3 linked regions of the Cricetulus griseus genome follow. The protein of the gene in region 3 purifies or fractionates together with the protein of the main gene of each other region. This does not show direct contact. Links are inferred from orthologs where the notes say so. Each region holds a gene or a part of one and is shown on either strand. Other genes may lie near its edges.

What was found. Proteins that work in one complex are often made in the same cells at the same time.
Region 1: the proteins of Tsen2 (region 3) and Tsen34 purify together in Homo sapiens (affinity purification with mass spectrometry; 3 studies listed by BioGRID and IntAct, counting the BioPlex papers as one, with this or other methods). This does not show direct contact. The link is inferred for Cricetulus griseus from reciprocal best matches to the Homo sapiens genes TSEN2 and TSEN34.
Region 2: the proteins of Tsen2 (region 3) and Clp1 purify together in Homo sapiens (affinity purification with mass spectrometry; 3 studies listed by BioGRID and IntAct, counting the BioPlex papers as one, with this or other methods). This does not show direct contact. The link is inferred for Cricetulus griseus from reciprocal best matches to the Homo sapiens genes TSEN2 and CLP1.

The regions. Positions count from the first base shown.
Region 1 is NC_048602.1:21,616,754-21,620,844, reverse strand, and holds the start of Tsen34 (tRNA-splicing endonuclease subunit Sen34), read right to left. Parts: upstream 2,816-4,091; 5' UTR 2,564-2,815; intron 2,171-2,563; exon of another isoform or gene 2,029-2,170; intron 1-2,028. UniProt on the Homo sapiens protein: Constitutes one of the two catalytic subunit of the tRNA-splicing endonuclease complex, a complex responsible for identification and cleavage of the splice sites in pre-tRNA. It cleaves pre-tRNA at the 5'- and 3'-splice sites to release the intron.
Region 2 is NC_048599.1:90,801,080-90,805,433, reverse strand, and holds the start of Clp1 (polyribonucleotide 5'-hydroxyl-kinase Clp1), read right to left. Parts: upstream 2,816-4,354; 5' UTR 2,690-2,815; intron 466-2,689; 5' UTR 444-465; coding exon 1-443. UniProt on the Homo sapiens protein: Polynucleotide kinase that can phosphorylate the 5'-hydroxyl groups of double-stranded RNA (dsRNA), single-stranded RNA (ssRNA), double-stranded DNA (dsDNA) and double-stranded DNA:RNA hybrids. dsRNA is phosphorylated more efficiently than dsDNA, and the RNA component of a DNA:RNA hybrid is phosphorylated more efficiently than the DNA component.
Region 3 is NC_048601.1:29,280,045-29,283,603, forward strand, and holds part of Tsen2 (tRNA-splicing endonuclease subunit Sen2), read right to left. Parts: intron 1,495-3,559; coding exon 990-1,494; intron 133-989; coding exon 55-132; intron 1-54.

The sequences.
Region 1 (4,091 bases), on a different chromosome or scaffold from region 3:
TAGAGAGAGAGAGAGAGAGGGAGGGGGAGAGAGAGGGAGAGAGAGGGAGGGGGATAGAGAGAGAGATAGAGAGAGAGAGAGAGAGAGAGAGAGAGAGGGGGATAGAGAGAGAGGGAGGGGGATAGAGAGAGGGATAGAGAGATAGAGAGAGAGAGGGAGAGAGAGGGGGGATAGAGAGAGAGAGAGAGAGGGAGAGAGAGAGAGAGAGGGAGGAAGAGGGAGAGAGAGGGATAGAGAGAGGGAGAGAGAGAGGGATAGAGAGGGAGAGAGAGGAGAGAGCGGAAGAGAGAGAGAGGGATAGAGAGAGAGGGAGAGAGGGAGAGGAGAGGAAGAGAGAGAGAGGAAGAGGGAGAGAGAGAGGGATAGAGAGAGAGGGGGAGAGAGAGGGATAGAGAGAGAGGGGGGGGGATAGAGAGAGAGGGGGAGAGAGAGGGATAGAGAGAGAGAGGGAGAGGAGAGAGAGAGAGGGATGGGGAGAGAGAGATAGAGAGGGAGAGAAAGAGAGGAAGAGACAGAGAGAGAGGAGAGAGAGGGGGAGAGAGAGGGATAGAGAGAGAGAGGGGGGGAGAGAGAGGGATAGAGAGAGAGAGGGAGGGGGAGAGAGAGGGATAGAGAGAGAGGGAGAGAGGGAGAGGAGAGAGAGGGAGAGAGAGAGAGGGAGGGATAGAGAGAGGGATAGAGAGGGAGAGAAAGAGAGAGGAAGAGACAGAGAGAGAGAGAGGAGAGAGAGAGGGAGAGAGGGAGAGGAGAGAGAGAGGGAGGGGGAGAGAGAGATATAGAGAGAGAGGGAGAGAAAGAGAGGAAGAGACAGAGAGAGAGGAGAGAGGGGGAGAGAGAGGGACAGAGAGAGAGGGAGGGGGAGAGAGAGGGATAGAGAGAGAGAGAGAGAGGGAGAGGAGAGAGAGAGAGGGATGGGGAGAGAGAGAGATAGAGAGGGAGAGAAAGAGAGGAAGAGACAGAGAGAGAGGAGAGAGAGGGGGAGAGAGAGGGATAGAGAGAGAGAGGGGGGGAGAGAGAGGGATAGAGAGAGAGAGGGAGGGGGAGAGAGAGGGATAGAGAGAGAGGGAGAGAGGGAGAGGAGAGAGAGGGAGAGAGAGAGAGGGAGGGATAGAGAGAGGGATAGAGAGAGAGGGAGAGAAAGAGAGAGGAAGAGACAGAGAGAGAGAGAGGAGAGAGAGAGGGAGAGAGGGAGAGGAGAGAGAGAGGGAGGGGGAGAGAGAGATATAGAGAGAGAGGGAGAGAAAGAGAGGAAGAGACAGAGAGAGAGGAGAGAGGGGGAGAGAGAGGGACAGAGAGAGAGGGAGGGGGAGAGAGAGGGATAGAGAGAGAGGGAGAGAAAGAGAGAGGAAGAGACAGAGAGAGAGAGAGGAGAGAGAGAGAGAGAGAGGGAGGGGGAGAGAGAGGGATAGAGAGAGAGGGAGAGAAAGAGAGAGGAAGAGACAGAGAGAGAGAGGAGAGGAAGAGGGAGAGAGAGGGATAGAGAGAGAGAGAGGGAGGGAGAGGAAGAGGGAGAGGAGAGGAGAGAGAGAGGAGAAAGAGGGGGATAGAGAGGAGGGAGAGAGATGGGGAGAGAGAGGGGATAGAGAGAGGGGGGATAGAGAGAGAGGGGGAGAGAGAGAGGGAGGAACAGGGGGATAGAGAGAGAGAGGGAGGGGGAGAAAGAGAGGGGGAGAGAGGGGAGGGGAAGAGACAGAGAGAGGGGGGAGAGAGAGATGGGGAGAGAGGGAGAGACAGAGAGAGAGGAGGGAGAGAGATGGGGAGGGGGGGTGGGAGAGAGAGACAGAGAGGGGGAGACAGAGACAGAGGAGAGATAGGGAGAGAGGAGGGGGGAGGAGAGACAGAGAGGAAGAGACAGAGAGAGGGGGAGAGAGGAGAGATAGAGAGACAGGGAGAGGGGGGAGAAAGAGGAGAGGGACAGAGAGAGAGAGGGGGAGAGAGAGAGAGAGAGGGAGATATAGGGAGAGGGAGAGAGGAGAGAAGGAGAGAGGGGGACAGAGAGAGAGAGAGAGTAAAGGGAGACAGAGAGACCTCCAGCCGCAGCGGCGCACCGCCCCTTTTCGCAAAGTGGGCGTCTCCCTCCGGGCGTGTCCGTCCGTCCGTCCGTCAAGCCTCCGAACGCAGAGTGGCAGCTGGCTGAAGCCACACCCCCTTCCAGAACCCGGGAACCCGGCCCCTCCCACCTCGAGTCCCCCCAGTTCCCGCCTGCTATCCACTTTCAGCCGCACGGACGCTTTTTTCTTTCCTTCTCTTTTTTAAGAGAAACCCGGTGCCGTCTTGCGCGGGAGGAGGTTCGATGTCCGGGCGTCCGCGGCTCGGCTCAATCCGGGGTCCCCACCCCGCCCCACCCCCTCACCCCTTGACCCCCGCCCCATCCCCGGGCCACCCCGCTAGACGAGCGTGTCGGCCTCCGGGATCTCGGCTCTGTCGCACGGCCGCCCCCTCCCTGGCAGCAGCCGCCGGAGGAGGCTCGCTCGGCGTCCGCAGCGGGCCGGGCCGGCTGCGTCCCCCGTCAATTCCTCCGGCCGCGGCCCCGCCCACCCCACCCCACCCCACCCCACCCTACCCGGGAGTCCGCGCCCACGGTGGCGCCCTCAGTGGCACTCGCGGGCGAGCGCAGGGCACGCCGACTCGGCGTCCGTGCTTCGGTCGGCCAGGCCGTCGCACCGTCCGTCCTCCGCGGTCAGCTCCTCGCCCAGCACTCTACGTAGCTCTACGTAGCGCGTCTTCCGTCACCCCCTGCCCTCCCCCGTCACGTCAGCAGAGCGGAAAACCGGAGGCGGGCGAGCGAGCCCTCCGCCCGCCCGCACCGCCGCTCGCCCTCCTAAAGTGGGACCTGGGGGGAGCGGGGGCGGCGCCATCGCTCTTGGCCACACCTCCCAGGCGCTAGAGTCCTGCAGGCCCCGCCCCGTTGAGGGTGGCCACGCCCACCGTCTCTTTCCGGTCTTCTCTGGCTCCGCCTTTCTTCCTCCTCCGATCACCCCTAAAAAAAAAAAAAACAAGACTCGATGTTTCGAGAAGCTCTTGGCTCCGCCTGTTATTGAACCAGGCCCCCCCCTCCGTTGCACCCGATTATTTCCGAATCTAAGCCGCAACTTCTGGCCTCGCGGGCATTTGACAGTGACCTAAAACATGTTCGAGTATCCGGGAAAAAGAAAAAATAGAAAATAAAAAAAAAAAAAATCACAAGCCCTCGGCGCCGCCCACATCCTGCAATTCTTGGAGGACGCCCTCACCCCCACACTTGCGACGACCTCCGAAGCGAGCCGAAGCCCGCGGCCCCGCCCACGCCGGGCGGCGTTCGTGAGCCCGCCCGGTTACTAAACGGAGGCGCTGAGGGAACCGAGGATGCCCGAATCTCGCCGAAGCGTGCGGCCCCGCCTACATCCGGCCGAGTGTGGGAACCGATCTAATTCCGAACCGTGACTTGGGAACTCGGCTCTCTCCGAAGCGAGCCGAAGCCGGCGGGCCCCGCCCCCGCCGGCCTCCACGCCGTCCGCTTGAACTCCCGAGGGTGCCCGAAGGAGCCCGAAGCTGAGGGTTCCGCCTCTTTCCGAACGCCGCGCTCCAGGTCCCGCCCCCTTTCCAAGCCCTAACCCGTTTCCTCGGGACTCGGAGCCCGGGCCCCGCCTCTCTGGCTCGAAGCCCCGCCCCTTCACGTACTGGCAGCAGCTCTTTGCCCCGGGGCCTGGCAGAAGGAACGCGGCGGGCATCCTGCGGCGGCGGCGGCCTGCGCCCTGCTTCGTGTTCTGGGTTCTTTCCCTCCGGTGCCGGGTCCTCTACCGCAGCCGATCTCCGGCCGGGCCCGGATCGCGGAGCGAGCCGTGCGGGGGCGTGCTGAGCTGGGGAGGCGTGGCCCGGGCGGAGGCGGTGGCGACAGAGGGCTTCTCCGCAGCCTCCGGGGCGGCGGGCGGTTCAGGTGGGCCCGGGGTGCGGTTGTGCCGAGGCGTCGCTGGAGATCGCGGGGTGGCGGGGTGCGGGATCAGCGGCCGGAGCGTGGCCCCGGCTGGGTGGCGTAACCGCCTGTGGATCTGCTGGGGCGGAATCGGATCCACGCCGGGCTGCGTGCGAGCTACGGAGCGAGCCTGCAGTTG
Region 2 (4,354 bases), on a different chromosome or scaffold from region 3:
ACATAGGTAGGGCGGCGGCCCAAACGCACTGCATAGTTGAGTAGCAGTCGACACACTGTGGACTTGCCCACATCAGTAGGACCCACTACCATCACTCGGGGGCCTCTCTCTTCTTCCTTTTCTGCCTGCCTCCGCATCTGCTCCAAGGCTGTATGAGTGTTGAGGTAAAGCAACATAGGGGTGTCCTTAGAGACATAAGCCACCTCGGTCCGGCCACTCAGTTGCAGAGAACAGCCATGCCAAGTGAAAACAGCCACCTTGGCACCAGCATCAAAGGTGAATTTCTTGTTTCTGGTAAGCTCTGTGCCAAAGATCTCTGCCATGCCAGCCAACAATTCCAGTTGAACTGACTGAGATGCTTCCACCTCAAATCGAAGCTCTGTTTCTCGCTCTAGTTCAAATTTAGTTGTTGGCTTCTTGTCATCATTGGATTCCTCACTCATTTTTTCTGTATAGCTGCTGTGCCTAGAACCCAAATTAAACATTAGATTAAATCATTACATAAGGCCATTGCTATGCAACAATCTTTGCACACTGTAAATATGTATTATTCTCATTGTTAATAAGGGAGAATGCTGGGAATAGGAAGGGCAGAGTCAGAGGAGTCACAAGGAGCCAGAAGCACAATGAGTTAGACACACAAAATGGGGTAGGGGTAAAAGCCATGAGCCTTGGGACAGCACACAGATTAACAGAAATGGGTTAAGTTGTAAGATCTAGTTAGTAACAAGCCTGAGCTATCGGCCAAGCATTTATAATTAATATTAAGCTTCTTTGTGTTTATTTGGGAGCTGCTGATGGGACAAAAACTTCTGCCAACAAATGGCACAAACATCTAGGGTCACTTACATTCACATAAAGCCTGAAAAAGCTTCTTTAAAAAGGTGCTAAACATGCTGGGCGATGGTGGCACATGCCTTTAACCAAAAAAAATTTTTTTAAAAAAGAAAATACAAGACAGTCGGTTATTGTGTTGTCTTTGAATTTTTTGCCTCCTTAAGAGACACTGGATTATGAAAACTGCTAGATTCAACATATATATATATATATTGCTATATATATATATATATATATATATATATATATATATATATATTGGTTGAATCTATATCTATCTATATCTATATATCTATAGGAATAGGAAGGGCAGAGTCAGAGGAGTCACAAGGAGCCAGAAGCACAATGAGTTAGACACACAAAATGGGGAGGGGTAAAAGCCATGAGCCTTGGGACAACACACAGATTAACAGAAATGGGTTAAATTGTAAGAGCTAGTTAATAACAAGCCTGAGCTATCGGCCAATATATATATATCGGTTTTTCGAGACAGGGTGTCTCTGTGGCTTTGGAGGCTGTCCTAGAACTAGCTCTTGTAGATCAGGCTGGTGTGAAACTCAGAGATCCGCCTGCCTCTGCCTCCCAAGTGCTGGGATTAAAGGCGTGTGCCACCACCACCCAGCCAATGTATTTTAAAGAACTATGCCCAAATTCCCAAAAGATGGGCTATTTATTATCATTTAAGGGAGGTTGGTTACAAGCTGTTATTTGTAATGGTCAGGAAAAAAGCTGAACAAAGGAGATTAGATTGAAAGATCTCTTTCTGAAAGGGGGAGATTATTGAATCCTTTTTTTTTTTTTTTTTTTCGGAGACAGGGTTTCTCTGTGTAGCTTTGGAGCCTACCCTGGCACTCGCTCTTGTAGACCAGGCTGGTCTGGAACTCACAGAGATCCGCCTGCCTCTGCCTCCCAAGTGCTGGGATTAAAGGCGTGTGCCACCAACGCCCGGCTATTGAATCTACTTTTAAACCAAAAAAGCAACTGCTAGTCTTAAATATTTTACATTGGTATGGATTTTTTAATATCGATACAAATTTAAAGTTAATTTTTGTTATACTATATGTATGTTTCTACTCGTTTGGGTTATTGTGTTTATACAACTCATTAAAAATGCAAACCAGCCTGTCTCAAAAAACAAAACAAAACAAAAGAAAAGTAATGTATAATTTAAAAAATACAGATTAATAGTCATCTATAATAGTCAGGCCATCGTTCAAAATCTTCCATTGGTTTCATCCCTTTATCTTTTTTCTGCGGAGTTCTTATTGCCTTCCGACTCGCTGGGTTTTGTTTGCGGGTCTCCCCACAATTAGAAGGTAGAGGTGTTTTTGTTTGCTACTCTATCTCTAGTAGATAGAACAGCAGTGCACCTCAACAGAAAACTGAGTGAATGAATGACTAGGTTATAATAAAAATGTAACTAACAGGAAACTTACTGCGTTGTCTTCCTTCCATCACCCTATCGGGAAAGAAATAACAGATGCCCTCTCTCCAACTCTCAGCCAAAAAAAAAACTAGACTCTGAATAGTGTGCAAAGTACAGCACACAGGGTTCGGACTAAGAAAACAGTTGTATGTCAAGCTCTGAAACTCCAATAGCTACTTTAATTCAATCAACACCTCAACAAACTCATCAGCTGTCATTTGGTGGGAATTTACACGTCCTCACCTAACAGTGCTGTTAACAGCTACCACAGTAGGAAAAACAAAATGAAACACCGTAAATTAGGCGCTAGCAAAGAAACGTTAGTTACTCTGATTCTAAACCGCACTTCCAGGTCCAGTATTTGTCGCAGTTAGTTCCAACACAGAAATCTGCCAAGGCCTCGCAGAACTGAATTGGGGTCCTTACCTGCACAACCACAGGTCCTAAATCAGGGTAGCAGAAGCCTTCGGACAGGACTCCAGCACAACGACCACTTAGAGAGCAGCCGGAAAGCAAATGCGGTTCCGCTCTTGCGCGATGGGAGGAAGCGCGGTCGCGTAATGCCTCTTGGGACATGTAGTTGGGCTGAGTGAGCGCGCGTCGACGCTCAGCCCTCTGGAAGTTGTAGTTCGAGAATTGTGCCGTGACGCGCGAGGTGGGCGGGGCAACGCCGTCACTTTGTGCGGGAAGACCGCTGGAGGCGGAGAGGAGGCGTTGCTGGTGCGCCCACGCGCGGAAGGCATTTACATGGTCTCTCCCCATCTGCTGTCCAGGAAAGCTAAGGGCTACCAGAAAGGGGAGAGGCCTCTCTGTCTGGATCCTCTGCTCGCCTAGACCACAAGCCAGAAAGTGGGGAAGTTAGCAAAACCTAGCGTAAGCAGGAGACCTAGGCAGAGGGAAATAGAAACAGTCCCCCTTTGAGGCTACACAGAGCTGACAACCTCTGCCTGTCGGTGCCGAACATAGAGAAGGAACCAAGTGTAAATTGTTTTTTACCCCACCCCCACCCCACCCCGGTTCAACTGTAGCCCAGACTAGCCAATCCCGGACTCGCGGTGATTTCTCCTGCCTCCTAAATGCTGGAATTTACAGATTTGAGTCACCAAACCAGGATGTCTGTTGGGTTTTTTTGGGTTTTGTTTGTTTGTTTGTTTTTCCCCTTTAGTAAAGGTAGAATAAAAGCCCAGTGGTTTTTTTCCCATTAAATTTTTTTTTGGTTTTTCGAGGCAGGGATCCGCCTGCCTCTGCCTCCCGAGTGCTGGGATTAAAGGCGTGCGCCACCAACGCCCAGCTCCCATTAAACTTATAAACCAGTCATTATCCATCAACCTCTTCCAGATTCTGGATTGTTTCTCTATGTAAATCAGACAGTTACACAAGGTCAATCATTTACACACTGCTAACTGGTTCCACCATGTCTATAATACACTTTTCATGAGCATGGCCTTTGGAATCTTGTATGGTTGGCTCACTGCTTGACTGGATAAATCACAGGCTTCTTTCCCTGAAATGTCTCTTGTCTGTAAAATGGGAATAATAACAGTATTCAACCTCTTAAAGTTGTTTTGAAGATTGGATGAGATACATGTAAAGCACTAAGCACATTGCCTATAATATAGCAAGTATCTGATGTTAACCTTTAATTTTATTATAGGCTAGAGAGACTATAATAATCTCATCTATTCATATACCATGCTTTTACATTTTTCCAGTTCCTCCAGGTGTCTTATGTCACAACACCCTCAAAAACAGGTAGGTATATTATCTCCAGTTTCATTTGGGGAGGAAGATAAGAGGCATTTGCCCATTTAGTTATTAGTAGAGATCCACCTACTTTTGCCTCCAGAGTGCTGGGTTTTAAAGAGTGCACCACTAGGAGGCTTAGAGGTCGGTTTTTTGATGATTAATTTCATTTGTCAATTTGATTGGATTAGTAAACACTTTGGACACCAATGGGGCACATTTTGGGGTGTGTCTGTGAAAAGATTCCAGAAAAATGTAACAGAAGAGGAAAGATTCACCCTGAATGTGGGCAGCCCCATTCCAGGGGCTGGGGTCCTGGACTGAGTCAGAAGAGGAAAAGGAAAAAGC
Region 3 (3,559 bases):
CGCACAGGGCTAGACTCACCCAGGGCTGAGACAGCCAGCAAGATGCATACATACCTCTTCTAGGCTGAGCTGTAGATACTCAAAGATCCTGTATGGATTTCTTCTGCACACCAGTCTCTTTCTTTGCAGCAACTACAAAGAAAGGAAGGAAGAGAACCAGTCACCTGGGACACAGGTGAATACCGCCTGTCATGAAGACTGAATCCCCAAATGAACATTTTTTTGATAAGCCCAATGCTAACATGCTACTGAGTAAAATAACCTTCGTGGGAAAAGATGCTCTGATTTTTCTGCTGCTAACACTATCCCATGGGCTTTTTCCCAATGATGTGATACTCCATTGTTAAACGCAGTGTCTCCCACTCACAAGCTGTACAAGACCTGTTCTTCGGTGTCAGAATCTTCATTCTCTTAGCTGTACCCGACATCAGGCAATTACACTGCCTTTCTTCTCCCAAACAAGACACAGAGGATTACTTGTTTTAACTTACTTTAAATTTTTTTTAAATTTGAATTTTAGTGGAAACTGTCTTCAACTGCTGAGCAACTGAACTATATGCTTCAGTGGTGGCCTCAGAAGCACCATACAGGCCCAGTGTCATCACAGGCCTGCCCCACGGCAAGTGAAGGGCACCTGGGTGGGCTGATATCTTCTGCTGGCCAGCAGCAGGTAGCTCTGGAGAAATGACTGACAGCCTTCGAATCTCCAGGGGACATACCCCAAGAGTCCTGATGGATACCTACAACCATGGGTAGCACTAACCCCATTGTTATATTTTTCCTATCCACATCCAGCCACGGCAAAGTCTGCATTAGTTAGAGACTAACAACAGTGACTAACAGTAAAGGAAAGGGATCCTAACACTGTGGTGAGAGCAGTAATGGATGTGGTCTCTCTTTAAAAAGCCAAGACAAACAGCAACGTTCTCAGACTGTGGTTGACTGTAACTGAAGCCCAGATGAGGGGCATGGTACTTTGTTCTACATACCTTCTCATCTGGGGCCTCGTCTTCCTCTTGGACATCACACAGCTCTTCCTCTACGAGTACATACTCATGAGCAGCCCTTTTCTCTCCTGCTGCCTGGCTGCTGTCTTCAGGCCAAAGGCCATCCTGAGCAATACGGCAGGGGACCTGGGGCAGAACTGTGGTGTCTTCTATCACATGTCCATTAAAGCTAGATGGACTAGCCACGGTGAGTGTGGCTTGGCCAGGCCCCTCTTGCAGGCAGTCTGAGTGTGTGTTGAGACCCTGCAAGTCATCTGACTGTCCAGCACCTCCAGTGGTAACAGAGAGTTCGTCCTTTCCCACTCTGCCTTCTAGGGTGGAGTTGGCCTCAGAGTTGAGCGGGTCATGCTGAGGGACCTCTTCTTTCCCTTTTCTGCAAGGGAGCTCAAGTGGCTCTGTGTAGTCTGTCAAGATCTTTTGCACAGTGCTCTCCTCCTGGCCTTGCCTACGCATGAAATCCATGGCCCATTCCACTCGATGCTGATACCTGCCCACAGGAACACCGTCAACAACACACCGTCTCGACTCCAAGACAACAAAATGACCAAAAAAGTCTACATGATGGCCCACCAAGATGTGGAGTTTTCCTGAAGGGTGGATTACAGGCAGAGCTTACCTCCTTCACATTCTCCTACATCTAACTGTCCAGCAACATGGATGTGTCACTGGCCCTTTGGTATCATTTGCTTACTTTGAAAAAATTAACCCCCATTTAACAAAGTGTGAAAACTTATGTAATTTAAAACCAAGAGACCCTGGTAAATAAGGCAGAGAAAATATTGACTTTTACTGGTGTCCATTTTATCTTATTTTCACAGTTCGTTACCGATACTCCTTTCATAAGATCCTTTGTTTAGTATTGGAAAGCAAATGTCAATCAATACTTTTCATGGTATCCACGAACATCATTGGACATAAAAAGAAATGGTTTGCCTTATATACAGCTTGCTTTCTGTTGTGATGAAACACTGAACAAAAGCAACTTGGGGAGGAAAGGGTTTATTTCAAAACTTAGAACTTAAAGGCACCATGAGGGAACCTGGGGCAGGAACTCCAGGCAGGACCTGGAGGCAGGGATGGAAGCAAAGGCCTTGGAGGAACTTTGTTTACCAACTCACTCTCTAGCTCATGGTCAGCAAGCTTTCTTATACAGCTGTAGTGATATATTATTTATGATTTATTAAAGCTTGACTGAGGATTCAGAAAAGCAAAGTCAGTCTCAAGCTATAGAGATCAGGTAGTGGTGATACACACCTTTAATCCCAGCATCCAGAAACTAGGCAGTGGTAGTACACACCTTTAATCCTAGGACTCAGGATTAAGAGATAGATGGATCTCAGTGAGTCCAAGGCCACCTAGATCTACACAAGACTGAATCAGTCTAAAAGAGAATTATAGCTCACACCTTTAATTGAAGCACTAGAGGGGTAACAAGATAGGAGCAAGGATTCAGAAGGAGGCATTTGTTCTCCAGCCACACTGAGGAGAGGCAGCCACACTGAGGAGAGGCAACAGTTTGAGACTTGAAGAGCTTGTGCGTGCATCAGCCCTTTCAGCCTGAGCTAGAGGTGAGAGCTAGTGGCCGGTTGTTTTGTTTTCCTGGTCTTCAGCTTGAATCCCAGTATCTGTCTCTGGGTCTTTTATTTATTTGAATTATATACAGCTCAGGCCCACCTGCCTAGGGATGGTACCACCCACAGTGGTCTAGGCCCTCCTCCATCAATTAGTTGAGAAAATGTCCTGTAGACCAATCTGACAGAAGCAATGAACCATGGTTTCTTCCCACGTGTGTCAAGTTGACATTTAAGATTAGCCGTCACCACACACACACTGAAATAAATCCCCCTTCAGAATATAGTATCACATTACATTTCTATACTCAAAGAACTGAGCACTTGCCAAGGTACAAAGACCATGAAGACAACAAGGCTGTATCAGGACATTGCTGGATGTGTTCCTCACCTGTGTGCTTAGATGCCTGGATATATCAGGGTGCACAAACTGTTATGTCTCATACAATCCAGCAGGCAAACTGCCTTTTGCACCCAGAAAGACTGGTGTCTGCTTCACCTTGGCTCATCAGAACCCAAGCTGTTCACATTGGTCTTCCTACACACAAATGAACATACATCCTTGTACACTGGGACTGAATCTTTGACTAATTCATTTATTGCTGTTCTGGGGATTACCTAGGGCCACAAGCAAGGGCAAGTGCTCAAGTGCTCTACCACGGGGCATATCTCTCCCCACTCCTCCTCTTTTGAGAAAGGGTCTTTCTGAGTTGCCCAGGCTGGACTTGAATTTGCCAATTCTTCTGCCTCATTTTCTTTCTTTTTTTGCCATTTTTTAAGAAAATCGAGCTATACATTTTTTCCCCACTCCCTTCTCCCCTTCCACCCTCTCCCACTATCTCAGTTCTGGAGTAGTTGGCATTACAGGCCTGTGCCAACCAGGCTTGACTGAATCTTGGATTTAAAGACTGAATCATGGCAAGGCTGGTCTGAAACCTGTATGGTAACAGTATAAAATGTGGAGATTCTATTATTGCACGT